2 linked regions of the Rattus norvegicus genome follow. The protein of the gene in region 2 purifies or fractionates together with the protein of the main gene of each other region. This does not show direct contact. Links are inferred from orthologs where the notes say so. Each region holds a gene or a part of one and is shown on either strand. Other genes may lie near its edges. The genes, in order: Cd84 and Sh2d1a.

Region 1 (4,146 bases), on a different chromosome or scaffold from region 2:
TGATCCACTTGGACTTAAGCTTTGTACAGGGTGATAAGCATGGATCGATCTGCATTCTTCTACATGTTGACCTCCAGTTGAACCAGCACCATTTGCTGAAAATGCTATCTTTTTTCCATTGGATGGTTTTGGCTCCTTTGTCAAAAATCAAGTGCCCATAGGTGTGTGGGTTCATTTCTGGGTCTTCAATTCTGTTCCATTGGTCTATCTGTCTGTCTCTGTACCAATACCATGCAGTTTTTATCACTATTGCTCTGTAATACTGCTTGAGTTCAGGGATAGTGATTCCCCCTGAAGTCCTTTTATTGTTGAGGATAGTTTTAGCTATCCTGGGTTTTCTGTTATTCCAGATGAATTTGCAAATTGTTCTGTCTAACTCTTTGAAGAATTGGATTGGTATTTTGATGGGGATTACATTGAATCTGTAGATCGCTTTTGGTAGAATGGCCATTTTTACTATATTAATCCTGCCAATCCATGAGCATGGGAGATCTTTCCATCTTCTGAGGTCTTCTTCAATTTCTTTCTTCAGAGTCTTGAAGTTCTTATTGTACAGATCTTTTACTTGTTTGGTTAAAGTCACACCGAGGTATTTTATATTATTTGGGACTATTATGAAGGGTGTCGTTTCCCTAATTTATTTCTCGGCTTGTTTCTGTTTTGTGTAGAGGAAGGCTACTGATTTATTTGAGTTAATTTTATACCCAGCCACTTTGCTGAAGTTGTTTATCAGCTTTAGTAGTTCTCTGGTGGAACTTTTGGGATCACTTAAATATACTATCATATCATCTGCAAATAGTGATATTTTGACCTCTTCTTTTCCGATCTGTATCCCCTTGACCTCCTTTTGTTGTGTGATTGCTCTGGCTAGAACTTCAAGAACTATATTGAATAAGTAGGGAGAGAGTGGGCAGCCTTGTCTAGTCCCTGATTTTAGTGGGATCTGCACGATGGTTCTTGAGTGGAGGAATGAATGTGTAGCCTACACTAGGTTGGCTATGCCATGCTTTCAAGTAAGGGATAACATATACCTTAAAGATGCCATTCCTAAATTACTTAAGGCATTGTAGCGACTGGTGGAGGCCTTGCCTCAGGGCTCCTTACACAGGTTGACTCTGCATAGAAGATCCAGCTGGTATGCCGTGGTGTGTTACAGGTATTCACAATATTGACTGATTTCTTCCCACAGCTGTTGGACAGTGATGTTACATATTGACAGGAGAATCTTCCATCCATATTCAGTCTTCTAGAGACATGGATGATTTCATCCTTTGTGCCAAAAAAATCAATTTTTATATGCCCGGCGAAGTGAAAGAGTTTGTGAGGTGCCATTTCAGGGAGTGTGTCTTATTGTTCTCATAGGAAGGATTTGACGAGTTAGGGAAAGTGTCCACAAGCCTAACAAGGAATACAAAGGTTGTTGAGTACAAGGAATGCCCAACAACAGAAGGTTTCCTGCTCTGCTTGCATGCTGGAATGTGGTATTTGCAATGTTCTGGTAAGGGGGTAGCCAGAGAAGGCCTAGGTCTTCGGGACCCCTGTTCTCACAGTGGTTGTAACTCAGTTTCCAGAGGGAGAACACTGCCCGCTCACCTAGACAACAATTTCATTACACAAAGTCTTGGGTGGTCTTTCGTCCTTCATGTTGGTTTTCCCCGTCTGTGTAAGAGAAGAAATATGAAAGACATGTTAACTGAAAGGTGCAATTGGAGGCGAGTTAGGAAAATGGCACAGGCTGATGTCCTGTGCTTGGGGACATGTGAGGCAGAAAGGCCATTTCTTTTGAGAAGTCCTTTACCTCTGCTCCAGCACCCTTATTTGGGAGCCCCAGGGTACTTCTTAGCCCGGAAGAGATAAGTAGAAAGGAATAAGGATGTTCGAAATTGGTTTTGATTGTTAGACTTCAAGCAACATCCAGGACGCAGTATTTGTTCATAGTTCAGTCTTAGTTCTTTCTGTTTCCCAACAATTCCATTCTCATCTCCACACAGAGTCAAATGACTGCTGGGGACGAGTCACTACCAGATTATGTCTCACATAATCTAGTACTCAGGATCCTGTGGACAACTTTCCCATTGGCTCGAGGAGATTTGGGTTTTCAATTAAATACTGATGGATGGGGTACAGAAGGTGGGTAGAACACACGGGAAAAGAGATAAAAAGGCCACACAGGATTTACCTTCTCATAAAGCTGCACCGAGGAATAAATGGTGGTCACGGGCTCTTCCGTACGGGACAGCATCTGGAAAAGAGATTCTCTTCAGCGAGAATGCAGGAGACAAACCCTACGAATCTCTCTTTCTAAACCCAGTCTCTCCATCACCCGCTTCCTGACACAACTTTACTGTGTAGCCTTCTTTGCAGGCATCTGCTCTTGTTCTCTCCAACTCTGGATTAGGTTAAGGTAACGATAAAGATAAATGGGTGACAGCTGGACATAGCCTTGCAGCAAAAGGCCTCTAGGAGCAAGGAGGAGGGCTCTACGTAGTTTAGACTGAGTCTCGCTCCGCCTGGAGTTTAGTTTTGTGCGAGTTAATCTGACTCTAACAGCATCCCCATCAATTCCAGTACAGTGTCAGAGTAACTGGAAAACCCAAGTGTCTCCCTTCAGTCCTTGCAGACCCAGGGAAGCAGGCTTGTGTAGACACGGAAGATGGTATTTAGTGGGTGTCAACCAGGGGAAAGCAGACAAGAAGCAGAAGGTGTGGGCCAGAGTGGTTCAGAGTCTGAGAAGAGGAGCTGCTGCTGGACCAGCTAGTGTAGTTCAGGGCTGTCCTCAGAACAGCCTTAGCAATGATTTTGCCCTGTTGGTGATCCCATGGCACCCCTCAACTCACAATAAGGACTCTTTTATTGTCTCATCCCTCCAGGGAGCTCTTCTTAGACACAAACCACTTCTAACCCACAGCTAGGCCTTCATGTGACGCTCGGGGCTTTATACCATGGACACTGTTGTAAGGAGACAATATACTATCTTTTTCTTTTTTTCATGAGGATCATTTTCTTAGCGTGGTGTTTCTTTGTTGGTCTATCCAAATTCTTGGCTGTAGCTTCTATACAGTGTATACATTCCATACAATGGCAAAGAGAAGGCAGGTGTTGCCCAAGACTCCTATTCTAGTGGTCCTAGTAATAGGGTGCATTTATGAATAGCATCAGCTTACCGTGGACTGTGGGATTTCATCATAGATTCTGGACTCTGTGAGATGGGCATTTCTTGAAACTGCAGAGTATATTATTTTCTTTGAGACATCATCTGCTACAAATAAACACAGAACCATAGTCTGTGAAGGGTAGATGGGTTTTTAGAGGCTGCCTAGTCATTTTATTTTTCTGTAATAAAAAAAAATCTGCAGGTTAAATGGCTCCCACCCTATGGAAAAGGATGTTCGGATCCTCAGATGTTCTTTCCATCCCAAGAATTACACGTGCGGTAGGGCACAGCTTACTCAAATCTCACCTAAAGCACATTGGGAATTCTTTTTTATGCCTGAGGCTCAGTTTAGCCTAAAGAGAATCTTCCTAGGCCCTGTATGAAATTCAAAGATAGCTCTGGCATTGACGACCTTGCATGGTTAGTAGACTTTTCATGTCAGGGCCTCGGTTGTTTAATTTGATTTATTCTAATTATACTTGGTGATTTCTTATCCTGGTGCATAACTGACTATAACCACAAGCATTCATGAAGCAGTAAAGTATTTATTAAGCTTCTACTCCTTAATGCCAGACTCCATAGGAGGCTACAGAAAAACAAAGAAAGGGTTTATAGATCTTTGCTTTAAAATTTTTTGAGCTACATGAGGTATTAATCTCAACACATTCTTTTTCTTTAGTATTAACACAATGTTTTAGGGTCAGGTTGAAAAGCCAGAATTTTGCGCCTTCTTATTATATAGGACACAAAAACATCTACACACAATGGATCTAATCCAAGATTATCATAGACTTCAGCATTTCTGAGCTTGTCTTGTCTAAGTCTTGCCACCAAAGTTCCCAAAATGATACTCTTCTCCCCAGTCTGGGTAAATAAATAACCTTACTTCTTAGAAGAAAGGAGACACATTCTCACATTTTACCTTCCAGGACAATCCTACCTCTCCTTCTCTTGTACAAATGGAACAGAAGTGCCACCACTGGAATGAGCAT
Region 2 (4,490 bases):
TCGTCAGATCCAGGTTTCTCTGTTCCTATGTTTGTAGATGATTTGTACAGAGTTGTTCAGAGACCAAAAAGAAAATGGTTAGGTTTTGTTTTAAACCTATGTGACACTCAATGTTCTAGCAGTTACACTATAGGTGGGGTGCTGTCCATATGACTCAATAAAAGAGGATCCCCTTTTTCTTTTCATATTTAAAATGCCTCATTGTAATTGATTTCAAAAGTATTAGCTTTGTTTCCAATAGAGTCCTGGTTAGGTGAACCTCTGATGTTTTTAACATGGATGTAGGTAGGCATTTATGTATGAGAATAGAAGTTACAACACAGTTATCAACCCCTGTGCAGTGACGCAAAGTGGATTTTATATTCACAATGATTCTGGCCTAGCCCCATACACCAAAGGGTGCATAGAAGGTCACATACAACAAACTGGACAGAAAACTCCCACAAGCCAGCAGCCCTATAGGAAGAACTACAGGCAGCTGAGTAAAACCGGGTGTAGTGGTCACCGTAGGGAAGGGCATACTAATTGCTCATCCAGTACCAGATGGCTAGCCCTGAAAACGTACATACAAATAGCATTAGACAGATACAACTGTATCTGTGTAACGTGCTCAGGAATTATATGAACATGCATATATGCATGTGATAACGATGCTGAAGGAGAACAGGGTTCGTTCGATGGTGAAAAGGGTGAAAAGGGAAAGAAGAAATGCTTGGATTTTAATAACGATGATGATGATGATGATAACGCGCCAATAGAAGGATTTGCTCTTTTTAAGCCCTTCAGTTATCTGCAATATTTTGTAATACCATGACAATTTTTTTGTGTGTGTGACTAAACTGATACTTTTGGATCTTGGAAAAAAAACATTAAGGTAAAAAATCTTTGCTTGGGCCTAAGTGTATTCAAGGATTTGGCATACGGCTTAGAGGTAGAAAACTTCATCTGGGAGGTCCCGGACTCTGTCATCATTGAAGAAAAGAGAGTTTTTTCAGGAACATCTAGTCCCAAAGTGCACAGTTCAATAGTACTTGGGAATGCTGTGGAAGCTTCAGAGCCAGACTCTGGTTTTGTAGTTGGGCTGTTTTTATGCTTTTGTTTTGTCAGGCCGTTTCTGCCCCTCATGATGACAAGTACCATTTACCTCTATCAGCCATTCTTTTGTTCACCAGTTCAGCCAAGTCATTGCCGAGGGCTTCACAGGTTGCAGGAACCACACAAGAAAAGCCCTATCAAGCTTCTCATCTTTGTGCAAGCTCTGTCTGCATTGCTGGCACAGCTCAAATGCTGCAAGTGTTCACTTTTCCAGTGTGCCCCTCCCCCACCACGAACTCTGTGTTGGAGACTAGGGTGATCAAACCCATGACAAGTTTGAACCTGTTAAACTGCTGAGCTGGCCTTAATTGAAGTGTGAGAAGAGGTTTTAAGGCAGGTAGACAACATCCTGTTGTTAGGGTGCTCATTTCTCTCTCTCTTTTTTTTCATACTGGCTGCCCTGGGAGTCAGGTGGCTGATTGTGCCCAGCAAGCCACTGCAGCAGCAACAGCAGCAGCGCAAAGTCTTCCTCTTACCATCGTCCTTCTGAGCCCATCAAAGAGTTTGCTAGGCATGGATGCGGTGACTGTGTACCACGGCAAAATCAGCAGGGAGATGGGGGAGAAGCTCTTACTCGCTACGGGGCTGGATGGAAGCTATCTGCTGCGAGACAGCGAGAGTGTCCCTGGCGTGTACTGCCTGTGTGTTTTGTGAGTACATCTTGTGGTCATGGCAGGCTTATAGCATGTGTATCCTGCCCTTTCAGGGGAGGTCCGGGGGGGAGTGGCAGGGGAGGGGGTTACAACTCTTGGCAAAGGAACAGAGGGAATACAGGCAGCAGGAACTGAGTACTCTTCCAGTTCTTACTGGCCCAGGACTCTGCCCAGGGGTGTGGCAGGCAGTACTTGGATGTATGTCCCTCCCTGGGGATTTATCTACTGCATTTCCCCAGTTCGGTTGTGGCAGCTTCACTGAATAGCCTTCAGAATGGGAAAACATGGCCTAGAATTTACCTTTACTTTGAGAAAGGCCCATATTCTAGACTTCGGCTCTGGAGCTCTGGGATGTTGGACTATTTTGTCTTCTGGGCCACGAATTAAGGCAAAGGAAAAGCTTTCTCTATCAATCTCTACAAGTGTGATTGAAAATGGTACCCCAAAAGAAAAGCATCTAACAAATGCTCGGAGAAGTGGCCAACCAGGAAATGGAATTCATTATTTTCGGAATGCCCCTCAGGGAAGGCAGAGGCAGACAGATGTGTGTGAGTTACAGGTAGCTACCCTGGTTAACACAGCCGGTTCCATGCCCACCAGGGCTACACAGTGTACGACCCTAATGAACAACAACAAAGAACACTAAAGCAGCACAGCTCTGGAGAGGAAGTGTGTGAAAGAGCAGAGGTGCCTTTCTCGTGATGCTGTTACCTTGCTTATAAGAGGCGGAATGAGTTTAAAAACGTGGTGTGTCCCGTAAAAGATAGGACTGACAATAAATAGTTTTAAAGAGCACAGAAAGAAAACATCATTCTTCTGACCCCACTTTGACCTTTGCCTAGACTGTTCTCAGCCTCTTGCCCCATTTTGAACCAGGTGCAGCTGCATCCTGGCTCCCAACCTCCCCGAGCGAACCCTACCGTAGTTGGACTCTAAAGCTTGTTCTCTCCGAAAATCAGTCTCTTAGCCCTTGATTTTAAATGGGTTTCATATTCCAAGGGATGATGAAGATGATGCCTCCATGTATTAGAAAAGAAAAAGTAAATGCTGGGCTTTGATACTCAACAGATATGTCTGGTTTATTATTGGTCTCTTTTTGGACAAATTATTTCAGTACTTCTTGAGGAAGTCTCCAGAAGGACCCAGTTTAGGCACTACTGTAAGCAGGGTATTCACACACACACACACACACACACACACACACACACACACACACACACACAGCCTCATTCTAGTACAGTACAGTCTACCTAAAAGCAAAAACAAAACAGTGCTTGGTAGTGAGTTCTGTACATGATGATACACTGCAAAAATTTGAAGTAGTTTCTGGGCCAGAAAATAAAGATTAAATTGAGGCTGGTGTGAAAGGATTGTCATTGTATATTGATTTTTTAAAAATGGCCAAGCCTTACTTTTGGCAGTTTGCAGATCATGCCAAATACATTCATCATAAAGGCTTCAAGGTAAATATATGGAAAAATAATTTTTCAGTGTTGGGGAGAGAATCCAAGAATCCAAGATTTTACATGAGCCTCCAAAATGCTTTTTTTTTTTTTTTTACTAAGCTAGACACCCAGCCCTGGGCTTGGACCTTCATGTTCCTAAGTGGATCCCTAAGAAGAGCTGGGAAAGCCAATGACACTCCTTAGGGTATTTTTTTCTTGTGAAAAGATGAAGGATGGTGAGTGAAACAGGTTGCTTTGGACACACTGATAATAGAGGTAGCATGCTCCTTAACCAAAAGGAAAAGATAAAAGTTCAAATGCAGCCTATGTAGGGGAGAGGGCTGGAGACAGTGTACCTCAGATTTGTGCTTTTCATAGCACCCGATCACCTCTGTTAGGTAACTAAGCCTGCTTCCTTCTCAGGATTTTACACCTGTATTCGACATTACATCTCCTGATCATTAACGAACCTAAGTGGCCTCTCTGGGCTGCTACCCGATTACCTTTATTCAAGGAACTTTAAACTTACTAACATTAGCTTGTTTACTTATATGTGGGGTCTACCACAAACTACCTTCATGAAGGAGCAAACATGGTCTCCAGTACCAGGAGCATATCCTGGTACATAATAGGCACTCAGCACACAATTTGGAATTAGATGAACTGTTCAGCCATATTGTACTCTTCATTAGCAAGAGCATCGGGCTAAGAGGCCAGGGTGGGGGCTCTAGGAAGTCACTCAAGTTCTCTGGGGCTTCACCTTACATCTGCGTAAAATAGAAACCGGTTGTTATAAAACATGGTTGTAAGTGAAATCTTGAAGAAAAGAAACCTTGGTGTTTGGGCACATAGGCCGGAACCATGTAAGGAAATTCTCAGCCTTCTGGTTTTCACTGACAGGGGATGCTGTATAAATGTAAGGTGTTTGCTTGTTTCTTTTGTTTTTTGTTTTTGGTTTTTTTTTTTTTTTTTTTGCTTGCTGTTGACCAATTTCATTTTGAAAACCTTTTCCTATAGACGTGGTGAATTCTCTACCTTGAGTCTCTAGCCCTGTTTATGGGTTTTCACAGTTATGGCCAGAAAACTGTGGAGGAAAGAGACAAGAAAAATAAGAGGAATGTTTTCCTCGCCTTTGATAAGTGCTTCAGGTTTTGTTTGTTTTTAGTTGAGTGTCCCCTTGGAGATACACAAACATTTTGTTCTCTCTCACTGGCACTACATGGTATGTGCAACATGTTATTTGGAACATAACGTACTTCCTAACTCAAAATACTGAATTGTAGGATGAAGAGTAGAA

What was found.
Region 1: the proteins of Sh2d1a (region 2) and Cd84 purify together in Homo sapiens (affinity purification with western blotting; 4 studies listed by BioGRID and IntAct, with this or other methods). This does not show direct contact. The link is inferred for Rattus norvegicus from reciprocal best matches to the Homo sapiens genes SH2D1A and CD84.

What each region holds. Positions count from the first base shown.
Region 1 is NC_086031.1:86,890,990-86,895,135, reverse strand, and holds the end of Cd84 (SLAM family member 5 isoform 3 precursor), read right to left. Parts: coding exon 4,095-4,146; coding exon of another isoform or gene 4,070-4,094; intron 3,260-4,069; coding exon 3,165-3,259; intron 2,243-3,164; coding exon 2,180-2,242; intron 1,660-2,179; coding exon 1,594-1,659; 3' UTR 818-1,593; downstream 1-817. UniProt on the Homo sapiens protein: Self-ligand receptor of the signaling lymphocytic activation molecule (SLAM) family.
Region 2 is NC_086039.1:126,237,808-126,242,297, forward strand, and holds the start of Sh2d1a (SH2 domain-containing protein 1A), read left to right. Parts: upstream 1-1,392; 5' UTR 1,393-1,608; coding exon 1,609-1,745; intron 1,746-4,490.